2 linked regions of the Mytilus edulis genome follow. The protein of the gene in region 2 interacts with the protein of the main gene of each other region in a pairwise test. Links are inferred from orthologs where the notes say so. Each region holds a gene or a part of one and is shown on either strand. Other genes may lie near its edges. The genes, in order: cyclin-Y-like protein 1 and cyclin-dependent kinase 14-like.

What was found.
Region 1: the proteins of cyclin-dependent kinase 14-like (region 2) and cyclin-Y-like protein 1 interact in a two-hybrid assay, tested with the Drosophila melanogaster proteins (2 studies listed by BioGRID). The link is inferred for Mytilus edulis from reciprocal best matches to the Drosophila melanogaster genes Eip63E and CycY.

Annotation. Positions count from the first base shown.
Region 1 is NC_092357.1:70,152,940-70,169,593, forward strand, and holds the start of cyclin-Y-like protein 1, read right to left. Parts: upstream 7,904-16,654; 5' UTR 7,576-7,903; coding exon 7,377-7,575; intron 1-7,376.
Region 2 is NC_092357.1:68,241,119-68,256,861, forward strand, and holds the start of cyclin-dependent kinase 14-like, read right to left. Parts: upstream 8,787-15,743; 5' UTR 8,675-8,786; coding exon 8,626-8,674; intron 1-8,625.

The sequences.
Region 1 (16,654 bases), about 1.9 Mb from region 2:
TTGCTGAAACTGTGAAACAGACTGTGTAATGAAGTAATGCATTATGTTATTGAATAAAATGTGTCTTTCTGAGTAAATAAAAATAAAAATTAGGCCAACTAAAATTAATTAGTAGATTTTCATCCAAATTTTTTAAAAATAATAGGCGGGTGGGAGGATTTTATTTTTTAAATTTTATTTCATATGAAACCCTTTTGTGACGAGTTATTTATATATGCAAGTGTAATGATAAGCTTATATCATGTATACTCAAGTATGAGGAATCTTACATAATTTTTCAAATCCATAAATAAATTATACTATCTAATTGTGGCTTTAAAAACTAAACAACGAAAATGTGTGAGAAATGCTCTCTTCAGTTGGACTACCTTCACAAAATGTATTTGGGTTTCTAAACGATGGTTTGTATTCCATTAAAATGAAGCAAATGCAATGGTATGCAATACATTTATTATCTATTATGAGTACATAATAAAATGAAAACTCGAATAGTGTTGAAATAATAGGGTTGGTACTTATGCAAGCTAAAATTATAATTATCATGTAAAACATGAACTTAATAAAAAAAAAAGTATTGTTTAATGACTCTTTTGTGTGTATTCAGACATTTGCTGTTTGTCAACATAAAAATAAAATGCGTATGTTTGTCGACTTTTTAAATTCAAAATACGGTCATAAATCTAACAAGTTCGTGCTTGTGTTTCAATATCTTTAATCCAGTCATGTTTTCTGTATCAATGGTTTCCACGATTCTTGTGCTTTGGGTATCATTCACAGTTTAAATTTCCTGACACAAAGCCATTGCATAAATAAAAAAATCCACAGTTTTCTATTAAATCACAGAAATTTGTGACATACCCCGATTTGCGGTCTTGGAAACAGAGTGTTTCTCGTAACACGAATATTTTTACGTCATTCTCGTAATCAATATTTACTTTCAGAAGATGATGTTGTCATCATGAGAGCAGCAGAATATGTCGACTTAATCATTTTGGTTAGATTTACTCGAGGTACAAAACCGAAATTTGAAACAGGAAGCTTCGAATGAAACGAAATTTAAACAGTTACCAGTGACGGAAATGAACAAAATCCGGAAATTGTAAATTTTATAAAATAAAAAAATTAGGGGCGGGCCAATTTCATAGGGGCGGGCGGGGATGAAAATCTATCAATTATTTCTAATTGGCCTTACTCTGTGTTTGTGTTTTTTGTTAGAATTAGAGGGTTTTCAATTTCAAAATATTGGACATGGAATAGTGGAATAGACATCATGACTTACTTGACTGACATCTAGCTTATTTGGAGTGGAATTTTAAAGTATTATTCATAAGTGGAGCCTAATGGCTAATAACATCAACTTATATTTTAATAAAAAGTCTTCTTTTGTGTTTTAATCATAACTTTAAAGCAGATTTTTATTGGGAAAGGCTAAAAAAGGCAATTTAATAATATTATTGCGAACGTCACGTCTTTTCCATCCATTGTGGTATGTCACGATCGCAATTATTTTGTTGGTTCTCAGACAGCCCATTGTAGTTGTTTTTATCCCGGGTTTTATTATAGTTGAAAATAGCAATCATATTAAATTTGGATGACGTTAGGGGGTCAAAGGACTTAAGGAATCAATATCATTGGCTGTTTTATTTTTTTGCAAACGTTACTGCTCGACGTTTCCATCCAAATCAGTGTCACGTGAGCAATATATATTTAGATCTGTAACTCTCCTGTATAGTAGTTACAATATCGCTTTTTGCAGATTTTGATTCGGAGTCAGTTCCTTCACATGATGGGGAAGCAAAGAACATAAAGAAGGTAAGTTGTATGTAATATCGTTACAAGAGGACCTTAAATGTATTCTGTCCATCAAAAAGACGTTCGCAATTAAACGTTGAATCAAGTAATGTCATGATAGTAGATGTTGCTAATGTTACTAATATTACGAATTGGTTTCTTGTGTATTCATTTGATATAAAGTACACCTGCAAATGACATTCTGTATATTTAGGAATTTTAAACCAGATTGTACAACTTTATTACTCGAGGCATATATTAAACATCACTGTGTGCATACATTTTAACTTTTAAAGATGTTGTTGCTAATGTGACATGTCCAAATGTCGCTAACGTTACTCATTTTTGTTTTCTTGTGTATTCATTTGATATAAAGTACACCTTCATTTTTGTATCCATCACGTTAGCAACATGAAAGTAGGAGACAGAACACAATGCTGTAAAATCTGCCTTAAATGTTACATGTATGCAAAATTCATATGAAAATTAATGTTGAAAAAAACCTTTAACCCTCTTGATGCCAGATGGACACATGTGTGTACAAACTCCACACTGACTCACACAGTGCGGGAGGGACATATGTCAGTTTTAATTTATAAGCTTTTTTGCTGTATCTTTTTCAAATAAAAAATCAATAACAATGTTATGTTTTTATTCAATGTGTCCAGAATGTTACAGTCATCATACATCGAATGAGGGCTATTCCAGTAAAAATTATCCAGGGGGGGTGGAACGCCACTTATTTTTTTACCCCCCACCTATGGAAAAGATTAAAAAAATACACCCCCACCTAGAACATGTATTTTCTTCCAAGACCCCCTACCTAGAGAAAAAAAATAAAAGTTAGCTAGTTTTTTAAAGTATACAAAAATGTTGCATCCTGTCAAATAAATGTAAAATTTGTTGGTTTATCTATTTCAGTGCATCCAAAAAGGGGGGGGCCCCTGGCCCCCCCTAAATCCGCCTCTGGTCTCAATGGCAATCATATCACATCTTCTTTTTTATACTAGCTATGTTGCTATTAAAATATAAAATGAAACATGTAACAATGTTATGGAGCAGCAGACGACAGATGCAACATGACGGCAATAGCTCACAGTGACCGAAAAAGGGGGTGCGATTTTAATTATGGCCCATTTTATTTTTAAAACTGTCAATAACATTTTCAGGTACGACATATTCATCAGGTGGGGAAACTGGTTGGCACCAACCATTTGATGTTTCAGAGTTTAGTTTGAGCCATAAAATATTTTTGGTAGGCACAATGTAATTCTTTTTTTATTTTTTGTATTTCTTATATACATTTTTTTTTTCAATAGGCAAATGTTGAGGAAGATGATATACTCTCCTGTGTAACAAGGCCATATTTTTCCGCAAAAATTAGGCCATTTTTTTCCTTCAATACCACCCACGCAACATGCGCAATAAAAATCTAATTGTCTGTGCCAAATATAAATATTTTTTTATGGACCGCATAGTTTGGATGTCACCCACACATAATTTTTTGTGGGGAGACGGTATACAAGGGAGAGGGTACTTGAAGTTGTTATAAACTGTATGCAATAAAATATTATTTGGGCCAAAAATTGCAAAGAATTGGCCAGTCCACCTTATTAAGGACATATTCTTTGCAAGGAAAGAGATTTAAGTACAGCAAATTCTGCCATTTCAATTTCAATGAATATACAATAACTTCTTCCAACCGCAACAATATTTAAGTTAACCTTTATTTACAATGTTTAAACTGGTACTGTTGCCTTGTTCATGTTCATGTTGGTTTTTTTTTACATTAAATTTGGGTCTTCGTCGATACCATACTTATTCCAGACGTTCCGTATCAGAGGACATTTCAGGCAATTCCTCTGCACTTCTTGTATCATTATATCTTCATCACGGTGACAAGAATAACAGTATAGAGTACCATTAATTCATAGAACAAAACAACAAATCGCTGAAGAAGTCATGTTTACAAAATGTCAAAATGAGCCAAAGACCAAACTAGAGGCTCTAAAGAGCCTGTGTCGCTCACCTTGGTCTACAATGGTCTATGTGAATATTAAACAAAGGAAGCAGATTGAAAATTGACTACAAAGTTCAATAACTCCTACAGGGGTCAATTGACCATTTCGTTCATGTTGACTTATTTGTAGATCTTACTTTGCTGAAAATTATTGCTGTTTATAGTTTACCTATATCTATAATAATATTCAATATAATAACCAAAAACAGCAAAATTTCCTTAAAATTAACAATTCAGGGGCCGCAACCCAAAAACAGGTTGTCCAATTCATCTGAAAATTTCAGGGCAGATAGATCTTCGCCTGATTAACAATTTTATCCAATGTCAGATTAGCTCTAAATGCTTTGGTTTTTGAGTTATAAGCCAAAAACTGCATTTTACCCCTATGTTCTATTTATAGCCATGGCGGTCATCTTGGTTAGTTGGCGGGGTCACCGGACACAATTTTTAAACTAGATACCCCAATGATGATTGTGGCCAAGTTTCAAATAATTTGGTCCAGCAGTTTCAGAGGAGAAGATTTTTCTAAAAGATTACTAAGATTTACGAAAAATGGTTAAAAATTGACTATAAAGGGCAATAACTCCTAAAGTGGTCAACTGATCATTTTGGTCATGTTGACTTATTTGTAGATCTTTCTTTGCTGAACATTATTGCTTTTTACAGTTTATCTCTATCTAAAATAATATTCAAGATAATAACCAAAAACAACAAAATTTCCTTAAAATTACCAATTCAGGGGCAGCAACCTAACAACGGAATGTCAGATTCATCTGAAAATTTCAGAGCAGATAGATCTTAACCTGATTAACAATATTACCCTTTGTCAGATTTGCCCTAAATGCTTTGGTTTTTGAGTTATAAGCCAAAAACTGCATTTTACCCCTATGTTCTATTTATAGCCATGGCGGCCATCTTGGTTAGTTGGCGGGGTCACCGGACACAATTTTTAAACTAGATACCCCAATGATGATTGTGGCCAAGTTTGGTTAAATTTGGCCTAGTAGTTTCAGAGGAGAAGATTTTTGTAAAAGTTAACGCAGGACGACGACGGACGACGCCGGACGCCGGACGCCAAGTGATGAGAAAAGCTCACTTGGCCCTTCGGGCCAGGTGAGCTAAAAATGACAAGGACAGTTAAGCGTCTTTTATGGAGACAAAAACTATATTCCTAAAAAGTCTTTGGGGTTCTTCAATCGAAATAATAGCAAGCTAAACTAAATGAGATTATTATAAGGGCTAAATCTCGTCTGTACTAGCCAAATTTAACAAATTTAAAGTTGTTTATAAAAAAAATATATATCATGAATGATGGTTAATTACGTTTTTCGGGTTATCAGTTAGACCGCATGGTTTTATTATTACAATAGGAAAACACCCGAGACGTGAAGTCGCATGGTTCTATTATCATAGGTAAACATCCGAGACTTCCCAAAAATATATAGGTGCTCCTATTATTGGAGGAACATTACACAGTTGTGTACACACACATGGCGGCATGGAACACGATCGGAAATTCATTTGACGATATCTAAACGTTTCGAAACGAAGTGAAAAGTATCGTGCGCCACGTGGGCGCTTACATTTGTCACTGTATGCGCCATTTCTTGTCAATATGCGCTATAGGCGCAGGAGGCACGTCCTTCCCGATCACTGGTTTGACAAGAACACAAACGGACGCTTAAAATTAGTGGTCTGCCAACTTTATTTGCAGTCGGATGACCTTTTCAGGAGAATCTTCCTTCATAACAGGGGGAACAATATGTTTAACCTATCATTCAGAAACCCCCCACCAACAGAAATGAATTTAAATCGGGACCACCACCCTCCAGAATACAATTATGTTGATAACCCCCCACCTATGGAAAAAAATATCGTCGGCGTTCCGCCCCTCCTAGGTAAATTTTACTGGAATAGCCCTGATGACATTGTTGGACATCTAACGTTAACTTTCAGACATAGAGTTGTCACATTTTCTGGCACATAAAATGCAACCTTGAAAAACAACTGGCAGCAATAGGGTTAAAATCCCCTTTTGGTTGTAGCCTCAGTGATGAAAAACTCATTCTGCATTAATACTGGTTTCTTATCTTTTGCAGGGATCTCCATGGCCTGTTTAACGATGGAGCCCGGCCATCGTTCAAATGTCTTGCGCCATCGTCAAATGACTCGCGCCATCGTTAAATTGTCTTGCGCCATCGTTAAATTGTCTTCCGCCATCGTTCAAAACTTCATCGTTTTTTGTAGCCCGACGCCATTTTTTTATCAATTATAATCAAATGCATGTAATTGCATAACCCTTAGGCTTTTTATGTTATAATCCAATACAGTTCTAACGCCTGAGGGATATCCGGATTAAGATCGCTAATTACTTGTACCTGAGCTTGTACAGGTAGATCAACAAACCAGACAGGAGAATACTATCTGAGGATAGACGATCCATTTGTCGAAGTAATCAACTAAGTTTCAGCAAATGATTATGATCATTTAGATTAAATAAATAAATTAATAAATTAATCCAGTTACAAAGAAAACAGTTTAACAAGTCGAACACGTGCTTTATTTTGAATTACGCAATCAGCATCCCCCTTTTTTAAGAAGTACAAAATAAGACGCAAAACAGTAAATATTATTTCATCGCAAATAACTCGAGTACTGCTGTAACGATAATTTAGAATTACTTTAAAAGTTTAAAAGTGAAAACTTAAATATTTCCTGTAAAGAAATATCGTATCTAAATTCCGAATTCATTTCGTATATTACAATCAAATTGATACATCCGCGTTTCCGGTTTCTATTCAGACTCGAAAGATGCATGTTGCACAGCATCAATTTTTCCAGATAAAGTCATTAAAAACCTTTTCATTTGTCAACGTTTGCTTTACAAATCTCTTTAACCTTTTACATAACCCGTACGAATTGATTTGTTGTTGCTGCAAATCAGCCATACCGGTAATGGGCTCTGAATTTGACAGTGTCCACGAAAAATAAGCTCCACATCAGATGATTTTTAACCCCCATAACAATTACCAAAAATAAAAGAAATCTGCATGGGGACCTTCATGACAGCTTTTGGTCATTCTCGACTAAGGGGGGACCATGAAGACTTGGCATTTGAATGGTTAAAAACGGCAATAAATGAAAATATTGATACTTCTAATTCTATAATGAAAATTCAAATAAATATAATTTAAATAAGCAATGAATTAGCATGTTCACCATTCCTTGTATGGAGGGATAAAATACTTCCGATCGCGCTACACTGTACAGCGTAGACAAGGTTTGTAATGGTGAAAGTTCCTCCATGGTTCAATTTTCATCCATGGAGATCCCTGCTTTTGATTGATTTCCTTTATATCATTGTATTTGTTTACATGTATGATTTGTCTGTTTAATTAACATTCAACATTTTCCTTTTTTATGATAGCAGGTACACGAGTAGTAAGATTTAAAAAATGGTGCACTAAGGGAGTGAATATTGTTTTGGACGAACAGAGCTGGATATTTTCAAGTAAAGGTGTCAGGTTTTAAAAACTAATTATAGGGTGTGACATATGTTCAATACCTTCAGGTAAGATTTCCCTGTCACTAATGTGTGGTACCGCTGACAAAGAAGGTGTACTCAGGTTATTGTGTGTTAACGTCACACGTACATCATCTTGTCTGTGATTAGCAGACTGAGGTGTGGTTGAAGTCCTGTATGCATCCTCAGGTCGTCTAGGCTTGGACCCTCCAAATGAACAGCACGATTGCTTATTCCCCATCTATACTGTTATTTACTATACTTTAAAAGTTACTTCATGGCGACCATGTATCATGGTTAACAATATATTGTCAGTTCTTTGGTATCAGCTGATTTTTCTAAACCAGCGCACCCAAAAAGATGCTCGTGCCGGGTTGGTATTCTGTGTGAATCATCAATATGAATTAAAAAGCAGTTTACTTTTTGGGAAAATAATGTTGACCTATTGAATTTGTGTGGTTATAGGTACAGTGTTTATGCTATTTGAACCCAATTTAGCTCAGATAAATTATTAGTATCCTTCATTTGTTCAACATCACAACGACGGAAATGTCGGAAGTGGTCCAGACAACTGTAATGCAGTTAATTTATAATGCGTTTTGATTGGACAAAATTAACGAAAGTATTTTAGCTGGAAAATTCGAATGAGTTTTAGTTTAAACAAAATTCTTTCGCTTTTCAGTAATTTTCCTTATTGCTTCATACTATTTATAAAATTTTCCATCAAAAAGAATTTGAACTAATTTCTTCATCCAAATATTCATGAAACAAATTTTTTCAACGACTTCAGTTTTAATAATCTAGCAATTTTGTTTACTGATACTGAACTACCAGATAAAATTGTGCATGCAGGTTCTGTAGGCTCTGTAGAGGCATTTAAGACCGACCTTCAACTAACAAGAACACCGCCCATAACAACGGCTCACTTCCCCACCGTGTATAAAAGCCTTAACATGATTATACATGTACCAATCAAAGTACAAATACATATATATATATACAGATACGGCATTATAATAATGTAGACAGATTTGCTCTTTTTTTAAACCTTTTACCCACATTTTCTCTATTCTTAAATCTTTTGGACAAATTTTCTCTATTCTTAAAATCTTTAAGACAGATTTTTTTCTATTCGTAAATATTTTAGACAGATTTTCTCTATTCTTTTAAAAAAAAGAAGATGTGGTATGACTGCCAATGAGACAACTATCCACAAAAGATTTTCTCTACTCTAAAACCTTTTAGGCAGATTTTCTCTATTCTTTAATCTTTTGGACAGATTTTCTCTATTCTTAATTTATTTGAGACAGATTTTTTCTATTCTGAAATATTTTAGAAAGATTTTCTCTATTCTTATACCTTTTAGACTGATTTTCTATATTCTTAAATATTGTAGACAGATTTTCTATATTCTTATACCTTTTACACAGATTTTCTCTATTCTTAAATAATTTAATTTTGGATGTAACACGTTTTTTGATTGGCTGAAGTTATTTTGTTATCAGCCCATAGACATAATATCATGTAACCGTGACGTCATCAACGTTTTTTTCATGGTTTTCTACGGTTTAAAATGGAATTTAGAATTAAATTATAAGAAATGACTGTAATATTTTTTCTGTCTATTCGAAATAACATAAAAAATGTGGTGCACACTGTTAAATAACTCGCTACGCGCGTTATTCAGTGTGCACCAAATTTTTTATGTTATTTCTTCATAGACAGAAAAAAAACTTTTATCCAAATTTTATTTATTCATAAATCTTTTAGACAGATTTTCTCTACTCTTAAATCTTTTAGACAGATTTTCTCTATTCTTAAAATCTTTTAGATCATTGTTTTGTGTTATTATAAAATGTGCTGTTACAAAATGATAGAAATTATTATAAATTAAGGAATGTATCTCCCTCAAGCAAAGCACTGATTCCTTTCACGGATTTGGCTATATTTTGTGGACCTTTTGGATTATAGCTCTTCATCTTTTATATAAGCTTTATATTTCAAATATTTTGGCCACGAGCATCACTGAAGAGACATGTATTGTCGAAATGCGCATCTGGTGCAGGAAAATTGGTACCGTTATGTTATTTTTATGTAATAGATTTTCTCTATTCTGAAATCTTTAAGACAGATTTTCTTTATTTTTAAATCTTTCCGGAGACAGATTTTCTCTATTCTTATTTTTTAAAATTCAATTCTTATAATTGAGCACTCCATTATGCTCTATTCTATATTTTGGGACTAATTTTCTCTCTATTCTTTACAGTGTTTGCCCTTTGTACAGCACTTTTACTCATGTAAACCCAATTCAGACCCTCATATTCGACCCACTATATAGATATGTTAACTTTAGTCAGCTTGGTTGCGTACAATATCGTAGCGGCTACATAGGGCTACGCAGATTTTTGACTATTGAACGTGTAGTTTGCCTAGCTGCTACATAAATTTTGATAGCAGCTAGGCTAGCTACTAGTTCAATAGTCATAAATCTACGGAGCACTACGTAGAATTATTTAGCTGCTAGGATGTTAAATGCAACCCTGGATTTGGCATACCTACGGGACTTTCGGTCCTCGATGCTTTGTACAACTTCGTCCTTAATTTGGCATTTTAATCTGTTTTATTTGAACACCACTGATGAATCTTATGTAAACGCAACTCGCGTCATAAATACAAAATTACAAGCCTATTTGGCATTTTGATTTATTTAAAAAAAAAAATTATAAAAATTTCTCACAATCTTAAATTACGTGTACCTGCGTGTGTAACTGTATGGGTTACGTTCAATATCGTAGCAGCTACATATATAGGACACCTCGATTTTTTTTCTACTGAACGTGATCACTATTCTAGGCTAGCTACACGTTCAGTAGTCAAATATTTATGTAGCTCCAGGCATATTTAGATCTATGTAGCTTCTATATTGAACGTAACCTCATATAGACATTCGATTTCCATTACATAATTTATTAACAACAGGGTTGAGTTCAATATCTTTGTAACAACTAGTCTATAGCTACACGTTCAATAATCAAAATCTACGTAGCACTGCGTAGCTGCTACGATATTGAACGGAGCCATGTTTATAAATTAGTAGATTGCTATCAAGATGACAACGTTTTTCAATATAGAATCATATTCAAAACAGTGTAGCTGTGGCCATTGATTGGCAACCTTAAATTATCCCATTGACTGGGGCAGATTATGTGAACGTTTGTCTGTAACAACCGCTGCTCACTATGTACTTGTTAAAGGTACTTAAACTGTGGGGTCACAAAAGGTTCTCAACACCTAAATAAAGAAATTAGAAAAACTAATCAGGAATAACTCGATGTTTTGATTTATATCAATAATATAAATCAAAACATAAAGTTATTCCTGATTAATTTTTCGAACTATTTTAATATTAAAGGCGTTAAGAACCTTTGGTGACCCCACAGTTTAAATTCTATAATAAGCAAGTAGTGAGCAGTTGTCGTTACAGACACACGTTCACCTAATCTGCCCCAGTCAATGGGATAATTTAAGGTTGTCAATCAATGGCCACAGCTACACTGTTTTGAATATGATTCTAATGGGAATATATGCCTCAAGGTGGATTTTTTTCTGGAAAGCGACCGGTGATTTCATCAGACACTGTAATCAGCAAAATCAATTAATAATTATACAAATGTATATAATTCTCAAACTGATCAATATAAAACCCAAGGGAATTTTTAACTTAATCTAATTAATCAGGCTTCCTCTCTGTATTCTGGAACCATTTCTCTATTCTTTATACATGTACCTGACTAAAAAAAGCACATAACAATGGGCAAAGGTTCCAGACTTGAGATAGGCGCAAAAAATACGGGTAAGATATCTTAGAAAATATATGAGACATCTTATAAGAGATATGAGACATCTTATAAGATATATGAGACATCTTATAAAATATATGAGACATCTTATAAAATACATAAGATATCTTGATATATAAAAAAAATATTTATCAGCTGACATTTACCCGAAGGAACTTAGTCACATAATACTTTTAATTAAACAATTTTTAATATCAACAACAATTATAACTGTCCTTTCCTAGACAGGGACGGATCCAGCCATTTTAAAAAGGGGGGTTCCCAACCCAGGACAAAAAAGGGGGGGTTCCAACTATATGTCCCCATTCAAATTCATTGATTGGACAAGAAAAAGAGGGTTTCCCCTGGGTCCGCCAATGGTAGATTTAGATATTTCATTATTACAATAGAAGCTCTTCACCCAAAATTTCGACTAAAGGGATGAGTCTTATGTAGACGAAACGCGCCACTGGCGTACTAAATTATAATCCTGGTATTTTGATAATTATTTACACCACTGGGTCGATGCTACTGCTGGTGGACGTTTCGTCCCCGAGGGTATCACCAGCCCAGTAGTCAACACTTCGGTGTTGACATGAATATTAATAATGTGGTCATTTTTATAAATTTCCTGTTTACAAAACTTTGAATTATTCGTAAAACTAAGGATTTTCTTATCCCAGGCATAGATTGCCTTAGCGGTATTTGGCACAACTTTTTGGAATTTTGGATCCTCAATGCTCTTCAACTTTGTACTTGTTTGGCTTTATAAATATTTTACTGATGAGTCTTATGTAGACGAAACGCGCGTCTGGCGTACTAAATTATAATCCTGGTACTTTTGATAACTATTTGCTTTCCCTATTATTTATTTTCCCTTTTTAGACGTTGGTGGTCCTTTGGTACCGTACAAAGGTATTTATTTACTCCTTCGCTTGGTCGCATCTGAAGTGACGTTTTAGATGTTAGTGAGTAATCTATGTATAAATTTTATTATAGTTAATGTATAATAATTAACTATGTATTAAAGGGAAACTTCGCAAAAAAATCAAAAATTGATATTATGTCCATTCTGTATAAAAATGCTCAAATTTATAGATATTAAAGTTTTATTCCGCTAAATAAGAGATCACCATCGATTTTAAATTTTGAGTATCAGTTCTCTGCTCTCCGCCATCTTGTCACCTTCTCCGATGAAAAATCCCGATATGTCTATAAACCACAAAGGAACAAAACTACAGTAAACGATGTAGTCGTAATTGCGTGTCGATATCTTGTCAATCGTACGGTTGTTTTATCTGACTGACTAACTTGATACGGAAAATGGTCTTATTTTTAAATAACCATATAGTCTGTTAATTTTAAACTGATAATATTGTAATTAGTTAAAAAGTCAAAGTTCAAATCATAAATAAGTGTTCCGTGGAAATTGTTTTCGAAAATCTAATTCGATCATAATTCTTTCAAGTAATAAACTTTATTTAAATAAATTCGGATCTTCCCTCATCTGATCACCAGCATGGCTAAAGGTATTACTCCCAAAGGTATTGGAAGGGGTGTAAGGTGACACGTCCAGGTATTCAATCGATTTCCTGTCCGGCGGGCTTGCAAGTTCATGCATCGTTTCACTTCTGTAGGTATTGATCAGTGTACACGACCGTTACTTATAACTTTCCATTTTGAACTATCAGGTGCATGTATAATATACATTTTTGTCTTGCGTGTCCGAAAGTGATATAATATACTAGTCATTACTGAACTCATACGCTTGTTTATAAATAACATTTCTGGTGTAAAGAATATTATTTACAAAAAAAAAATAATACAAAAAAAAAATTGAAGAAATACAAATCTATTTACATATTTTTCCAAGGGTTAATTTGGGAAAATGTAATATATACTCGTTGTCAATAGTTTAGGACAGATTGGAACATACCAGAATTATTGATTTAAAAAAATGTGCGCACTTGTCGACGATTCGTGTATACATACGCCTGGGTAGAAAGTTACGGAACTATAGTCAGTAGCGCAATTTAAAATATGTATACATGTATACATTGAACATAAGAAAGAAACATACATTTTGTGTAAATTGTGGTAAAAGTTTTGTAAATAGACTAGTCCACGTATGACAACAGTATGTAATCAACGAATTCGATAGACTATTGTATACCAAAAGAAGAAGAAGAAAAAAAAAGAAACAATTTGATTTAAATACAGGTCAATTTATAACTTGCTTTGGTTCATCGAAGTTAAGAACATAGTAAACTCACAGATTTATATATCAATCAGATTGTTCTCGAATAAGAACGAAATTCGTCATCATCACAATTGTTCCAACATTCATGTAAAATATATGCAACTGGACGTACACTAATAATCCCCAAGGGATGTGAATATTTTCTAGGAAAACTATTGAGTATCAATTTCGGGATTTATTTTCTTTCTTGGTATTCAATGACAGCAATTTAAAGAATAAACTGCTTGTCGGATATTTGTTCGCTTTAGGGGTATTCTTGCAAGTTGAACAGACTTATAAAAACATTCAAAAATAGGGAAAGATAACATTAAATTCGTTGTCTTTTAATTTTAAACATCGTTGGTCAAATAGTTATTTAAGTATATATATACGTTGGGAGACGACGATTATTATAGTAGTCTCAGATTTTAATAAGGACGTTCCCGATTATGAATAAATTTGGTTGACGTTTTTCACACTTGAAAAGAATATCTATTCGTAATTTTTCGATTCCATTCCAATACAAAAGTATTTTTTCTTTATTCGTACATATTATATATTCCGCTTCGGTAGAGTTATCTTCAGATAGTTTCATATATTAATTAATACATGGCTTTCAAAAGTCTAAATGTAAGTGTTGTCGTACATTTTTTCGCCTAATAAAGACAAATAAAAATGATTTAGTGAAGCTATTTCTAATTTCTAAGTCCCCCTTTTTTATGAGACATAAATCAAGGACAAGACTTGTATATCATTTCATTCTGACATATGAATTAAGTTTCCCGTCTTTAACCGAAAATTGTGTATTTCTTAGTAAATTAACTTATTTGAATTCAAATAAATAATAGCACCAAATATAATTAAATAACGGTCTCTAAAAACACCGCAAAGGACTTCCTTTGTGCACAAAGGAGCACAAAGGAGCACTAAGGACCTCAAAGAAGTTTAATAAGAGCACAAAGGACCTTAATTTCCCTTTAAAGCATTAAAATATTATAATTCCTGAAGAAAAATGTAAAAAAATTAAAATAGTTTCAATAAAAATTGCGATTTTTATGCAATCTCCCATGCAGAGAGAGCAAGGACCGACAACTCTGCATGGGAGATTGATTTTTATGATGTACGATTTGGTATAATCACCGGTATCGGTTTGGAACCGACTTTATATCCGGGCTATATGATAGCTCATGTATGTGAATTTTTAAATAGTTTTAATATGATATTAATGATAAAAACGTCATTTATTATTTTTAATATTTTGTTGTAATATTTTTTAAGAAAAAAAATATGTATTAAGTTGAATTGGCATTAAAGTTGAAGATATACGAACTGCACAGTCATGTGTTCTGTAATGGGTACGGATATGCATAATATTACGACCCTTTTCTATAAGATTTTACTTAGTAATACATTCATGAATTAGAAAATATTGAGAAAACACAAACATATGATATAAATACAGACTGGGTAATAAACCGAACAAAAATAAAGCAAACATTGAGATCTCATAAACATGTTTAACCCCGCCGCAATTTTGCGCCTGTCCCAAGTCAGGAGCCTCTGGCCTTTGTTAGTCTTGTATGATTTTAAATTTTAGTTTCTTGTGTATAATTCGGAGTTTAGTATGACGTCCATTATCACTGCACTATTATGCATATTTTAGGGGCCAGCTGAAGGACACCTACGGGTGCGGGAATTCTCGCTACATTGAAGACCCATTGGTTACCTTCGGCTGTTGTTTGCTCTATGGTCGGGTGGTTGTCGCTTTGACATATTCACCATTTCCTTTCTCAATTTTATTGTTGGTCAAGATTTCGACTCGAGCATTAATCAGTTAATAAGGATTGTTTCATAAAGACTTGATAGCACTTGGGATGAAAAAACGTTATAAATTCTTTACAGTTAATTATTAGCGTTAAAAGACTGTCTTTAAAAACAATTACATTCAGAAAATAATCAAATATGTATTTTTAAATTTTAAATTATAAATATATTTAAAAAAACAAAAGAAAACTATAGACATATGCACAATAATAATATACCTACGGGTCTGGAGGCCAATACAGCAAACCTTGAATCTATACCAGTGCCAATACATAAACAGCCAGTTAAAAACACTATAAAAACATAGTGTATTTTGAAGTTTATGAAATACGGATTGACAAATTTAAACTAATTACCTACCTTTATAATTATTGCCATAGTATTCCCTTTGTGCCTTTAGAAACGTTTTCGTCATAGCAATACTGACATATTACCATACATAAGAAAGCTAGCTGATGATGAAATATGAAAGCAAAACATCGGTATCCTTACATTAGACATTAGACATTAGACATTATTTTATTTTCCAATCATGGGCCCTTGTCAGGCAAGATACAAAAACATCATAATACAATGATTATATAAACATTAGTGAAATACACAATAAGTAATACACAAATAATAAATTGATAATATGAGCAATGTAGGATATAATTATAGTAAGAGACATTGAGTGCAATGAGGCCGATTTAATATTAAAAGGATATGATATTAAGTTTATTTTAAAATACGGAAACTAAAAAATAGTAAAAATAGAACCGGGAATATAGTATCTCAATCTGCAGTAGTTCTCCTCATGACCAGTGCACAGTAGTGAGGGACTTCATCACAACAATGCAAAGGTCATCAAGGGGGGATCCTTCAGAACTAGCTACAGATACATGAGATTACTCCAATAGTGATTCTCCTCATGACTAATGCACAATAGCAAGGGTTAACATTGCTACTGGACAATATTCATCAAGGGACGGTGCTCTAGAACTCACTATGGAGAAAATATAAAGTTCAAATTACAAGTAGTAGAGGGAAATAAATCCCATTAAAACTTTTCATATTTCTTAATGAACATGCATAATTCTGATAATAAATTCTCATCTTCATTATTCATTAACCATATCAGTTTTTGTTTAGGGTCAAGATATTGAAAATTCTTGCAGCAATTATTTATCATTGTTATCATATCTTTCCTTTGATCTGATAAACTATCACAGTTAAAAAGACCTCATTACTACAACATCTCTTACATATTCTATTGTGTCGGGGAGTATTACTATATCTACCTCTCTCTATAAGTAAATGGTGAGCAGATATGCGAAATCTTGTTAGACTCCGTCTATCTTCAAATTTTTTAACAATATCAAGATATTTTTCACAACCAAAATTTGCTTTAAACGTAACATATGTGCAAAGTTTTCCTT
Region 2 (15,743 bases):
ATATCATAGGAAACATGTATATTAATAAGTTTCAAGTTGATCGGACTTCAATTCATCAAAAACTACCTCGACAAAAAACTTTAACCTGAAGCGCGACAGAGGAATGAACGCACAGACCAGAAAACATAATGCCCATAAATGGAGCATAAAAATATTCTAATGAGACATCATCAGACATGGTTAACTTTTTAAACAACATAAACAGATAACAAAATCAGATGAAAATTTGATGTCATTATTGAATTTTGACAAGGGGTAAATCCAGAATTATGAATAGGGTGCAGAATTTTAAAACACAAAATGAAAAAGAAAAGAATTTTGAACTATATATACATATATATATATATATATATATACACGCCAAAAAAAAAATCTGATCAAAGAGGTGAGGCATCCCTCAATCCCCAAATCAGCCACTGATTATAATTGTATAATACTGGAAAATCAATTTTGTAATTATCTTTTACACTGTCCTAGCTATTAGTCTGTTGCTCTGCTCTAATGACTTGTTGCTATTTCAAACCTATGAATATATTACAAAGTGAATTTATTGATGTTTGTCACTCAGCTGCTAGTCGGTCAATCAAATGTCACTGTAGTAGTAATCTGCAGTATAGCTTACATGACCTAATCTTTCCCACTTAGGATGCTTAAACTTAAATTCTCTTGTTTTTGAATGTATTCCAGATTTTTCGGAATCCTCTGATTTTATCCATATAATGCCTTTGATAATTCTGCCCGCTAACCCCTACTTTTCCTGGTTATTTTTTCAATGTTTTTGAAAGGAAAAAGGTGGCAAAATGTTATACATGTATATATGAAAAATCTAGAGAGAATCATTTCCCAACAATTTTGCAATATGGCTTCATTGTATCTCCAAAACAAGCACACGAACCCCTGATTTTTTTCTGCAATTTTAATTCCTTTTATTCACATACTATCAATTTATAACAGTCTTTTTAAACACTTGACATTTTGAAACAGAGTAAGGAACACCCATACCAGAGGCGGATTTAGGGGGGGGGGCAGGTGGACCGGGGATCCCCTTTCGAGAAAAAAATTTGGTTGCTTATATAGGGAATCACTGAAGCGTGACAAGATCGGGCCCCCTCTAAGGCAGCCAGTGGGCCCCACTTATGAAAATTTCTGGATCCGCCACTGCAGACAGGGGTATACTATAATGCATGAGGGTCTGGTTAAGGTTTACAGAATAGAAACACAGAGTGCAGAATAAAGCTTAAAAACATAAAATCTAAAGAATCAATTACAGTGGCAGATCCAGAACTTTTCATAAGGGGGGGGGGAGGGAGGAATACAGAAAATTAAAGCAAAACAATTAAAGAATAGAGAAAAAAAAATGGCCATTTAAAATTAAAAGTACAAAAATGAAGGTAACCCCATCTATACCCTCTTGCATTGTGACAATTCTAATATCTTTTAAGCTGTGAAAATATACATTCAAGAGCTTTAAAGAAATATATTATAACATATTTAACACAATTTAATTGAATAATCATGTTTTAATTTTCAATTATGTTTAATTTAATGCCATTTCCTGTTGGAATAAAATAAAATATCAACTTCTTATATATATTTATATATATATATACAATATGTTAGAAAACATATACAATATATGCATATACATGTATACACCATACATGTACATGCTAAAAATAAACATGTACATGTTTTAACCACAATCAAAATGCACTAATTTTCTTTACCTACATGTATATGTATGTACTATATAGACTACTATATCCTGTTACAAACTAATTATAAAAGATCAATAATCTAATTTTGTAATCTACATGTAAATCATTTAACTAGTCTACAACCTACACTGAAATCAGCGAAAGAAATCAATTTTAATTGCCTATGTATAAAATGTTTATATCATAGAACATAATGCTTTAATCATCAATGCAAGAGTCATACAGTCAATTTCAAGATGATATTTGAACATAGATTAGAGAATTGAAACGTAAGAATGAGTCAAAGAGAGTGACTTGAATCAATATTATAATTTAGCCTATGTATGAAATGTTTAAATTATATCATACAAATTGTCCAGGGGCGGATCCAGCCATTTTAAAAAGGGGGGGTTCCCAACCCAGAGTAAAGGGGGGGTTCCAGCTATATGCTCCCATTCAAATGCATTGATTGGCCAAAAAAGAGGGGGGGTTCCAACCCCCGGAACCCCCCTCTGGATCCGCGCCTGTTGTCAATGTGAGAGTATACATGTACATAGTATACAGTTAAACTCAAGATGAAATCATGGATATAAGAACTTAGAAAAGAGAATGGAAACTAGAATGTGTCAAAGAGAAAACAACCAGATCAAAGAGCATGCAGAAAAGAGGAGCTTCAATGCAGCAAGAAAATCAGTAAACAATATAATTATTCAAATTGTATTAAGATCTCAAACAAGAATTATCCAGGTTGTACCTCTGAGATAAAACACTGACAAATAGTCTGATGCACACGTCATAGGCGGATTCAGGGGGGCCCTGGGGGGCCCGGGCCCCCCCCCCCTTTCGTGGGAAAAATTTGGTTGATTATATAGGGAATCATTGAAGCATGACTGGAGCGGGCCCCCCCTTAGGTCAGTCAGCGGGCCCCCCTTAGAAAAAGTTCTGGATCCGCCACTGCACGTTTGTGATTGTGTTTTCACCTGTATATATATGTACTCAAAACTCCTGTACTGCCTTTTCAAATTTAATCTTGGCACCCTAAAAATCAAATGGTAGCTCCCTAATCAAAGCCCAGGATTTTGTAATAATGAATGTTAATTAAGCAGGTGCTCATATACCAACAGCTTAAAAGCATTAAAATCAAAACTCAAATCTAAAAGTTAACTTTTCTTAATTTCTAAATATATATCCATTTAGCTTCAAAATTCCAAGCTTGAAACGGAGAGAAAAACACAAAAGCCATCAATCTGTTTTAATAGGCCATTTAATAAATATTTCTGATTTACTGTTTCAGATAAGTGAAGCATCTTTTATCTAATCCTGTGAAGTTGAACTGACAAGTTCTCCTTAAAAAAACACTTATTACAATCAACACAGCAAAGATTATAGAAGCCAATGCAATCATTTAGTTATGAGTCTGTTTTCATTTCAAAATGATTTGTTGTTTGTTTGTGAATCGTAAATTTCTTCATTTCATTCAATAATTGGTGGCAAAGTAATTTGTTGTGTTTTTCACTTTGTTTTCAATTCAAACTTTTAGATTACTAAATTGTAATGTACCAATAATTGCTCATTTTGTTCGACTTGGCTATCTAATTATGATTTTATTCAAATTAGATGTAATTTGGTGATATTAAAGAATTAAATTACTAAATATGCAGTGTTCCTGTCTGCCAACAATAGAAGGACCCACTCTAGGTGCCCTAATGCCCCTTACCCTTCTGCCCTTAAAAGCAAACCAGCACCCTTCTGCATGCCCTCAAAAGCAAACCAGCACCCTTCTACCCTCAAAAGCAAACCAGCACCCTTCTTCCCTCAAAAGCAAACCAGCACACTTCTGCCCTCAAAAGCAAACCAGCACCCTTCTGCCCTCAAAAGCAAACCAGCACCCTTCTGCCCTCAAAAGCAAACCAGCACCCTTCTGCCCTCAAAAGCAAACCAGCACCCTTCTGCATGCCCTCAAAAGCAAACCAGCACCCTTCTGTCCTCAAAATCAAACCAGCACCCTTCTGCCCTCAAAAGCAAACCAGCACCCTTCTGCATGCCCTCAAAAGCAAACCAGCACCCTTCTGTCCTCAAAATCAAACCAGCACCCTTCTGCCCTCAAAAGCAAACCAGCACCCTTCTGCCCTCAAAAGCAAACCAGCACCCTTCTGCCCTAAAAAGCAAACCAGCACCCTTCCCTCAAAAGCAAACCAGCACCCTTCTGCCCTCAAAAGCAAACCAGCACCCTTCTGCCCTCAAAAGCAAACCAGCACCCTTCTGCCCTCAAAAGCAAACCAGCACCCTTCCCTCAAAAGCAAACCAGCACCCTTCTGCCCTCAAAAGCAAACCAGCACCCTTCTGCCCTCAAAAGCAAACCAGCACCCTTCTGCTCTCAAAAACAAACCAGCACCCTTCTGCCCTGAAATTCAAGCTGGAACTATTGTGGTGATGTGTTTTCACCTGATTTAAACTGTCACCACCAATAAGTGGAGTACAATACATTTACTGCACAACATGTGCTCCTTCTAGAGCATTGGAATTTATTATACTCCTTGTTTTTGGTCTGCTCAATTGTTTAATGGATGGTTGTCTCTTGTCTTTTTTCTCTTCTTCCATGAGAAGTCCTTTTTTTATTTGCGTAATGGATTTTTACTCATGTTAATATTGCCCTCTTCAGCTACATGTACGTGGCTTCACATTCATGGTATATGAATGTATAAATGTGAAAGAAAGATCCTGGTTTATGAGACAATCAGAACTTTTTTTAACCGTCCCAGCTGTTTGAGGATGGAACTTGGTTTTATTGTTTTCTTGTATATTATTTTTTGAGGGGGTGGGGATTTGGATATTGAAAATAAATATACTGGACTGGTAAGATCTAAATAAATAACTGTACAAAAGACACAATGAAAATGAGTATTCTGCAACTCAATATGCAGGAAACAAAATTAAACATGCATAGGAAAAGACAAAAATGAATTGTCAATCAACAATAAATTTTTCTTCCCACACTCAAATATGTAAACAATCATCCCTGTTTCATCATTACCCAATTCTGTTTCATTTCCAAATCTTTGATCTGCGATGTTTACAATATATACCCATCAAGTTTTATACTAATTAAAACATATATATATATATAATGTACTAGAATCAGTGTAATAAATCATCTTTGAAACATTTTTATTGATTTAAGGAAGCAATATAGAAGATGATCTGAGATACAGACCAGAATTAAATCATTCATATAACCATGATAACTCACTGAATTAAAACATCAAATATCCTCTAATTGATCCTAGCTTGCTTTAACTATTGTAAAGTATGGTCTTAAACTTTCAAACTGAGTTTTACTGTGCATATTGTTGCGCATTTGTTTTTTTCTACATTGGCTAGAGGTATAGGGGGAGGGTTGAGATCTCAAAAAACTTGTTTAACCTGCCGCCTTTGATAGTCTTGTACAAATTTTTAATTTTAGTTTCTTTTATATATATTTTGGAGTTTAGTATGACATCCATCATCACTGAACTATAGTAATAGTACACATTTTTATTTAGGGGCCAGCTGAAGGACATCTGGGTGCAGAATTTTCTTGCTGCATTGAAGACTCATTGGTGGCCTTCTGCTGTTGTCTGCTCTTTGGTCGGGTTGATGTCTTTTTGACATATTCCCCATTTCCATTCTCAATTTTATCTCACTTAAAATTACCGACTGTAATCTTCTGGTAAAGTCATCTTAATAAGGGAAAAACTCAAAAAAAAACCTACTTGTCTAGTTAGATCCATTTAATTTGATGCGACTGTCACACATTAGTGAGATGTTTAGCTAGCTATAAAACCAGGTTTCATTCTCATTTTCTACATAATAAAATCCCAGTACAAAGTCTGTAATACAAAATGTAATATGACAGTTGTTATCCATTGGTTTGATGTGTTTGAGCTTTTAATTTTGCCATTTGATAATTAGGGACTTTTCAATTTGAATTTTCCTTAGAGTTCGGTATTTTTGTGATTTTACTTTTTATGTCTCGTCTAAAGTCCAATTTTGGCCAAGAAAAAAATCCCTCTCTATATACTAAACTGTACGAGGCATCATGGTAGGAAACATCTAAGAAATATTTTTTAATGTGTGGCCTTATTTATTTTAATTTTTCATGCCTTAGACCCTACTACAAAAATAAGTATAAAATTGAGAATGGAAATGGGGAATGTGTGAAAGAGACAACAACCTGACCAAAGAGAAGAGAACAGCCAAAGTATCTACAATGCAGCGAGAAAATCATGTTTGTTCTCTTTTATCAGCAACTTTTCAAAAGCAAAGAACAAATTTACCTGACCAGGTTCAAAAACTGGACAGAGAGATGAACTCTTGCATGTTTATGATTAAAAATATTTCAAATTCCCTCTTTATATATATATATATTTAAACATGTTAAATGTAATACCTTTTCAAATTTTGGAATTAAGTTGACTTCAAGCATTTAACATGCACCTGTTTTCTCTTCACATGTACACAGTATTATTACCACATCTTAAGTATTTACAAACCCTCTCTTATGTAAATAAATACTACAAGATCAATATCTTTTCAAAGGAAATAAACATAATAAGTTGGTTTATTTTATATGTAAACACAACAGTGAGGATGATTATATTGGCTTAGGTGCTTGTAAAATCAATCTTATAATATATACATTGTATATTAAATAATTAAAAGTAATTAGCTGATATGTATCCCATCAGATATACAAATTTAATTATATATTGGGGCTGTCCAAAGGAGAATCATAATAAAATTGAGAATGAACCCTCCCTTTTTTTGGCCGATCAATGCATTTTAAAGGGGACATATAGCTGGACCCCCACCCCCCCTTTATCCTGGGTTGGGAACCCCCCATTTTTAAAATGGCTGGATCCGCCCCTGATGGTTCTCAAAGTTATTACTGTAATAACTAATATTGTTAAAAATTACAATTTATTTACTTGTACAATTTATATACATGTATCTACACGTACCTGTAACCATAAACATGTAGGATAGATTGAGTTCAAAGAAAAGATATTGATATTTTGCAATTCATTAAGTGATTATCTCCCCTCACATTGAATAATGTAAATGGAAATGAAAGATATTTTACTAAATTGTGAGCCTTTTTAGTTGAAAATTTCACAATGATAAAAAATATCAAATCATGTTCATGTATTGTATCAAAGGGCAGATATTGTATGACACTATAATAGACCATTTAACATTCTTTTTCTGTGACATGATGTAGTAATTGGTTCAATTCAATTGGTGGCAAATAACATTAAAGCCTCATTTTAAAGGGGGGCAGAACCTTTTTCGGGACGCCAGGATCAGGTGTTTTTAAACTTGGGATTTAGGGATTAATCCTTTCAGGATCTAGAAATTCTTTTTTCAATTTCTGGAATGTCGGAATTTAAATTTCTTTAAAGTTGGAACCTCAGGATCTCATGTTTTGAAGCCCTAGATTTCAGGATCAGACCCCCTCCGACCCTATCCCCCCCCTCACTTCTCATTTTATATTAGTATTGAAAATTGGTTGCCAACCTACATGTACAATGTATGATTTAATGGCACTATTTTTTTACATTTTTAAATTTAAGATATTAATATAATATTATGTTACAGCACAAGAAAGCAGGGGTTTTTTTTCAAATAATTTGACCAAGCAGTGTAGAAAAAGTCTGAGGTGGTCCCCAAATATGGAAAATAGTCCCCCAGAAACAATTAAATTTAGGCCAATTTACCAATGCTGATAAAGTGAGTCTCATTGGGGTCTAAGCGTGACGCAGGATTGCCGATTTCTTGTAAGTGTGACACGTGAAAGTCAAATTATTGTGTCTTGAAAACGGGAAATGAGGTCTAAGCGTGACGCAGGATTGCCGATTTCTTTTAAGTGTGACACGTGAAAGTCAAATTATTATGTCTTGAAATTGGGAAATGAGGTCTAACGGGACCCGGGAAATGACAAAAAAATGAGAATTGCTTACGTACATAGTGTAAGCGGGAAACGGGAATCTGACAAAACAGTAAGCGGGATCCGGGATCAGAACCCCCCCCAAATGAGAGCCCCAATAAATAATGCAACTCTGTGGTCCTTTGAAACACATGATGACTTGATCTTTGAGAGTGACTGCTAGGAAATGTTCAAAAAAACATGTACAAATGTACTTTTATTAAATTACTTGAGAGGTTGGGAAAGGGACCATCTTCTAACATAAATAGAGCCTAAAGGGCAAACACACCAAATTAACAAAAGCCAAAAACACAAGAATATATTTGACAGCAGTAAAAATTTTGGAATTAGGATCTTTTAGTTTCAGGCCAGGATAGTCTAAACTTAAGGTTGTCATATGAATGATGATGACACTACATGTGCACTTGTCTGAAAGGTTGGACAACCTACAGCATACCTGCCAAGTGTCACTATTTGCGGGGGATTTCCCCCATGGAGGCTCCTAAATGGAAATTTTGAAAGAGCAATTTTGTCCACAAATTTAAACAAAACAATTAGTTTTATAGTGGCTAAAGGTTTGTAACAGTATGAAGAAGCCTAAAAACAACATTAAAATATACATAAAGGTCCCCTTGAAGGTTTTGTAGGACTACATTAGCCATCTTGCACGCAAAACCCCCATGAGCATTTTGAAAAGTTGGCAGGTATGCTACAGGCCTGCACTGTTCAGCTGTTCGGCTGAACTGAAACTGAAACATATATATGAAATTTCTTCGCTAATAAACAAATAAAATATTACAGGCGTCTATTACAAAATGCAAAATGTTATTATTATATGAACATTCATTTTACAAGATGTCAATAAGTGTGTCAAGAACAGTCATTCTTTTGTCAACGAAGAACCCCTTTTTTATGCGACATGAGTCATCCGGTTACACAAAAACATCTTGAAAAAAACCTTACCGTCTCTTGATTTCGGTTTTTCACCATTACAGCGGACTTCGGTCGCCATATTCTCCGTGTGAATTCACTTTTGAATGATTAAATTTCATTATAATTCATTTCATTGTAAGAAAATGTTCCATTGTTGTTTGGCGACCTTTTTCTGATTTTCGATTTTCTGTCAATACATTTCATTCGGAACTCTTCTAGTCTAGTTAAAACCGCGGGAAATTTAACTACAATTATAGTTATGAAATATTGCTTGCAATCAATCAGACCACTCGCTTACGATCACTTAACATACCGTTATATTCCGATGAAATAGACAGAATAAGAATTGTACAGTGTTTCGAGAAATTATTGCTATGTATCTACTGACGTATTTTTGCCCCCCTAATTTTTTGTAAATAAACTAGTGAGTTCAGCACTTTGGAGTTCAGTTTGCTGTGTGTCACTGAATAATCATAGTTAACTGACTTTTTAAGCCCAACATACTGTTAAATACGGTAATGAGAGAGAAACTAGAGGCTCTAAAGAGCCTGTGACGCTCACCTTGGTCTTGTGCATATTAAACAATGGACACGGATAAATTCATGACATAATTGTGTTTTGGTGATAGTGATGTGTTTGTAGATCTTACTTTATTGAACATTCTTGTTGCTACAATTATCTCTATCTCTAATGAACTTGGCCCAGTAATTACAGTGGAAAATATTTTCTAAAAATTTACAAAAATTTATCAAAAATGTTAAAAATTAACTATAAAGGGCAATAACTCCTTAAGGGGTCAATTGACTATTTTGGTCATGAAACTTATTTGTAGATCTTATTTTGCTGAACGTTTATATTGCTGTATACAGTTTATCTCTATCTATAATAATATTCAAGATAATAACAAAAAACGGCAAAATTTCCTTAAAATTACCAATTCAGGACAGTAACCTAACAATGGGTTGTCCAATCCATGTGAAAACATCAGGGCAGATAGATCTTGACCTTATAAACAATTAAACCCTGTCAGATTTTCTCTTAATGCTTTGGTTTTTGAGTTATAAGCCAAAAACTGCATTTTACCCCTATGTTCTATTTTTAGCCATGGCGGCCATCTTGGTTGGTTGGCCGGGTCACGCCACACATTTTTTAAACTAGATACCCCAATGATGATTGTGGCCAAGTTTGGTTTAATTTGGCACAGTAGTTTCAGAGGAAAAGATTTTTGCAAAAGTTAACGACGACGGACGACGACGGACGACGGACGACGACGATGACGACGGCGGACGACGGACGCCAAGTGATGGGAAAAGCTCACTTGGCCCTTTGGGCCAGGTGAGCTAAAAAGATGCAAATATATAAAATGAACACGTATAAGGCAGCTACAAATTGTTTAATTTAGGGGGGCCGGGGTAGAATGAAATATTTGATGAAAGATAGGACTGGACAGTTTTGAGTATAACAATAGGGCAGGCATGATGAGCAACTTGGCAAAACATGAAGGATGACAATCAATGTAAAAAAAAAAGTAAGGATAAATTAATAAAAAAAAAAAAAAAGACAGGCCGTGACCATTCGCAGCAAATGGTTGCTCCCTAAAGGTAATTGTAAGTATATTGTGATTTTTTAAATGAATCTTCCGACCTTGACTGGTAAGAGTTGCAAATACATGATTTTTCCCACATTAGACAGAATGAAAATGAATAGTCTGCCGATATAAAACGCAGGAATTTATTGTGAACAATTTTTTAGAGAAAAATAATTAAAATAATAAATGTAGTGGGAAAAGTTTGTTTTGTGTGTGTGTGTGTGTGGTTTTTTTATTTAGCTTTTTGTCTTGAATTTATACATGCAAGCTGAGACTACTATAACACTGTGTTATAGTAGTCTCAGATGCAAGGTGAATTAAATATAGAGTAACACCACAGGCACTCGTCTCATGCAGCCCCTATACACCTTTATTTTTTTTTTCTGAGACGAGTGCCTGTGAGTAACACCGGCAACAACGTTACTGGTATTAAAAAAAATCAACAGAAGTTAAGCAAGATGTTTTTTGTTTTTTTCCATTTCAACTGACATTCAAATTGTAAAATCCGCAGCTGAGCCAAAACGTAGAACTTAAGAATGGTCTTTCATAACTTAATGTAAATTCAATTCATTTCCCTTTATAAATTATAGATTTTAATTGGAATGGACGAGAGAGTGACATTCTACTTAAAATTGTCACCCGCTCAGCCAGGTGACAGAGTAAATTAACACCAGCGTATTAGACAATCAAAATACGGCATTTTTATGTGAAGTATGATAATAAATATTGCTTACAGTGTCATCTTTTTCTCAAGGTAAGTGTTCATTTTCCACATTATTTAAATCGCATTTCAGGGGCGGATGCAGCCATTTCAAAAGGGGGGGGGGGGTCCAATCATATGTCAAATTCAAATGCATTGGTCGTCAAAAAAGAGGGTTCATCCCTCGGAACTCCCTGGATCCGCCATTGCATTTAGTACAAATTATCGCCACTGAATTAAAAGAGCGAAATTTACAGAAATTATACTAAATTAAATCATCGTGTTTGTGCTTGCATGAGCAAAACCGCAGGTGAAACGATTGGGGCTGGATTTTCTTACTCCTCCGGATCATCTGATATTTTTGATTAGTTTTTTTAAAGGGATTTCGGAGGGGGTCCTCATCTGCTAAGTCTTATTTTTCTATATTATGTTTTGTATACTACTATTTGTTTTGTGGTCGTTTTTTTCGTTTCTTGCTATGAGGGGGAGGACAGGGAGAAACGGGGTAGGAGAAAGGAGAAAGGGGGTGGGAGAAAGGAGAAAGGGGGTAGGAGAAAGGAGAGGAAGGCTGGGAGAAAGGAGAAAAAGTTGGAGAAAGGAGAAAAATAAAATATCTCTCCTTTTAAAAAATTTTCTAATATTTCAAGAAAAAATATCTCAAAAGGAGACGTTTTATTCTAATGGGAGAAAGGAGAACGGGGGTAGGAGAAAGGAGAAAAGGGGTGGGAGAAGGGAGAAGGGTACCCCCCTGTCCTCCCCCTTGCTATGGCATATTTAGTTCATATTCGACTAATGAGTTTGTGTATCCCTTTGATATTTTTGGTCTCTCTTTCGTGACAGAGTACACACCATTGAAGTACAATACTGACAGAGTTGCTCTCAAAATTAAGATTTCATTGCATGGTTTTAAATATGCGACATGGTGGTTGTAGCAATTCAGCTGAATTCTAATAGATTTTCCTGAAATCGCAACAATCAATCTCGCATTGCTGTCTATTCTTAAAAAATCACAAAAATAAATGCATGCAAAAATTTTTGTATTTACACTATCAACGACAGAGTTTACTTTTGGTCATAGAAGTATACCTTATGGCATGGTTGCTCAATATTTACAGGGGGCACACCATGAGAGTATGTATGACAGAATACTAATTACGGAAGGACAATCAGAGTACGCACCATACACTGGAAAACAATATTGCACAACATGGAATAAAATTGAGAATGGAAATGGGGAATGTGTCAAAGAGACAACAACCCGACCATAGAAAAAACAACAGCAGAAGATCATCAACAGGTCTTCAATGTAGCGAGACATTCCCGCACCCGGAGGCGTCCTTCAGCTGGCCCCTAAACAAATATATACTAGTTCAGTGATAATGAACGCCATACTAATTTCCGAATTGTACACAAGAAACTAAAATTAAAAAAATACAAGACTAACAAAGGCCAGAGGCTCCTGACTTGGGACAGGCGCAAAAATGCGGCGGGGTTAAACATGTTTATGAACTCTCAACCCTCCCCCTATACCTCTAGCCAATGTAGAAAAGTAAATGCATAACAATACGCACATTTAAAATTCAATTCAAGAGAAGTCCGAGTCTGATGTCAGAAGATGTAACCAAAGAAAATAAACAAAATGACAACAATACATAAATAACAACAGACTACTAGCAGTTAACTGACATGCCAGCTCCAGACTTCAATTAAACTGATTGAAAGATTATGATTTCATCATATGAATATCAGGCACAATCCTTCCCGTTAGGGGTTTAGTATCATACCATCATAACATATATGAGAAGAACATAACCCGTGTCATGCCAACAACTGTTTTTTTAATAAATGTGTTTAGTTCCGATGCAAAGACCCAATAAGTGAATCAATATTAACGCCAAAATAAGCAATCTTTATTGACCTGACAAGCATGATAGTGACATAGAGTGCATCCTAAGTAAGTCCGATAGCGATATAGAGTGCATATCATGGAAGCATGATAGTGACATAGAGTGCATCCTAAGTAAGTCCGATAGCGATATAGAGTGCATATCATGGAAGCATGATAGTGACATAGAGTGCATCCTAAGTAAGTCCGATAGCGATATAGAGTGCATATCATGGAAGCATGATAGTGACATAGAGTGCATCCTAAGTAAGTCCGATAGCGATATAGAGTGCATATCATGGAAGCATGATAGTGACATAGAGTGCATCCTAAGTAAGTCCGATAGCGATATAGAGTGCATATCATGGAAGCATGATAGTGACATAGAGTGCATCATAAGTAAGTCCGATAGCGATATAGAGTGCATATCATGGAAGCATGATAGTGACATAGAGTGCATGCTAAGTAAGTCCGATAGCGATATAGAGTGCATATCATGGAAGTACTATATAGTGACATAGCTGACTGTAAGTCAATATAATCAGTTTTCTATCATTTTTTTCCTGTACGGTACATGATTGCTTTATCCCGTACATCGTACATTTCTGTAATTGGTATTATATTACCTAGTTATTTTATTTTTCAAGTTATTCTTAATGCTATTACACATAATTAATTATTTTTTATTAATGTTTTTTTGTTAATTTTCTATTCATTTCGGGGACATGTTTGTTAATTTTATAAACCCCATCCAGACTCTCATATATATATGAGCTTTTATGTGCTGTGCTTAAAAATAACTGTGATAATGCTTTATGTTATTGGTCACATGCTAGTTATTTTTTAGTAAGTCCTCCAAGCCAAAACGCCAAACAAATACGATCTATAGCCATTATGCCTACATGTTTTTGTTGTAAGTAACTTAGTAATACTTAGATGTTATGATGACAAAGACGTTTGAGTTATTTCCCTTTGGTCACAATGCGTTGAATGCAATGTTAAAGTACATTTAGGTCTTAGTGTAAACGATCTCGAGGCAACGACTACATGACACAAATAACCACTTTACAACTCTCACATTTTTTTACTGTTAATGATTCCAAGGTCCGTAGTGCTTGCAGCAGATTGTATTCTTTATTTGCATGGCGATGACGAATACCAGGTTTGCATTTTATATCTTTGAGGGTAAAGGTTTTTGAAATTCACTCTAACTTGTGGTTGAAAACATTGAGTGCAATGTGATGCAGGTGCATTGCACAAGAAATTGGAAAGTCAGTTTCATCTATGAAGTAGTCAAGTACGTACCTTGTTTTCTGTACTAACTTTATGTTAGAAGAGGACGATAAATGGATGACCCGGGTAAAGATTAGTCCAAATAATTATGACGTCTTGAAAGGCTATTATAATTTTTTTCTTTGACGCCTTACATCGACGTAAGGCGTCAAAGAAAAAAATTATAATAGCCTTTCAAGACGTCATAATTATTTGGACTAGGTAAAGATAGTCCTATAACATATGACTTCGCATTCTTATTCAATGTTTAACGTTTTTATACTGATATTTTCATTTTTTTATTTTTTTGGCACATTGATAGTAAAAAAAATTATCAGAACAGTAAATAGAAATAGTAAATAATGCCCCCGAGGTCATATGTTATAGGACTACAAGGGAGGTGCTTAAAGGACACTCAAGCCGCTTCACAGAAATCTGAAAAATTTAAACATTTTACAACACAAGCATAAACTAATACTTAAAAAGAATTACTATATTATAGTCCTCCTTTTTGCTGAACCACATTATAAATATTTTTTTAAGATTAACATGTAGTTATCCATATGCAGGAGCCACCAAGGGCAGGTGCTTAAAGGACATAGTAATATAATTCTGTAAAATTTCTGTGTGAAATATTTGGATTTGGTTGCAGCCTCTAGTACAACCTGTCCCAATGCTCTAAGAGAAAAAAGAGAATACACAAAATATACAAACAATGGTATGAATCATGAGTATTTTTTTGTTTGTTTTATAAAATCACACATTTCATACAAGATATCCTTGTTCTCATTACTCATTAACCAAATAAACTGTCAATTGTCAAACTTTAATTGTCAACATATCAAAATTAGCACAACATTTCCTAGCACAAACTATTTATTTATTTCTCTCATTATTTAATGAGGTACAATTAAGGGGAAAATGTAACTCATCTTCAATTTCAGAACTTGAGCATCTGGGACAAGTTCTATCGTGTCGAGAAATACCCTGATACCTTCCCTTTTCAATCTTTAGGGAGTGTGCTGAAGCATGTAGCCTTGTCAGATTTTTTCTAATATTAACATTGCGGATTACAGATAAATATTTTTCACAGACAAAATTATTTTTATAAAGTACATAAGAGCATAGTTTACTACCAGCATGTATTTGTAATGTCTGCTCCCATTCTTGTAAAAAAAACAATTCTTTATAAACTTACTATTTACATTTAGTATGTTTTGGTTGTTCATTGGGTCAGCAGACTTAATAATTTTTAATATCACATTGAAACTACCATACCATGAAGGTTTTTTTTGCATCAGATAAAATATTGATTCATGAAAAGCACTATCTAGTAGTGGAGATATAAACTGAGTTATTAACCTGTTATAGTATTTAACCATAGCTTTTACAATATTGAAATATAAAGGAAGTCTGCCCAATTCAGATAAAGCAGCTATATTTTTTGCCTTTGAGTGGACACCAAGAATATATTTACAGAATTTTAAATGCAATCTTTCTGCTTGACATTTATCATAAATTTGGTGAAAGGTTAACAAGCCATTCCTAAATTTAGATGTGAATGGATTAAACATTCCCCACACCTCACAACCATATAATAGAATTGGTTTAATTGTATGATCAAAAACATGCATACTAGTTTTAGCAGAAGGATTCAGTGACAATAAATCTTTTGATAATTTGAAGTATGCTTCTGTAATAAT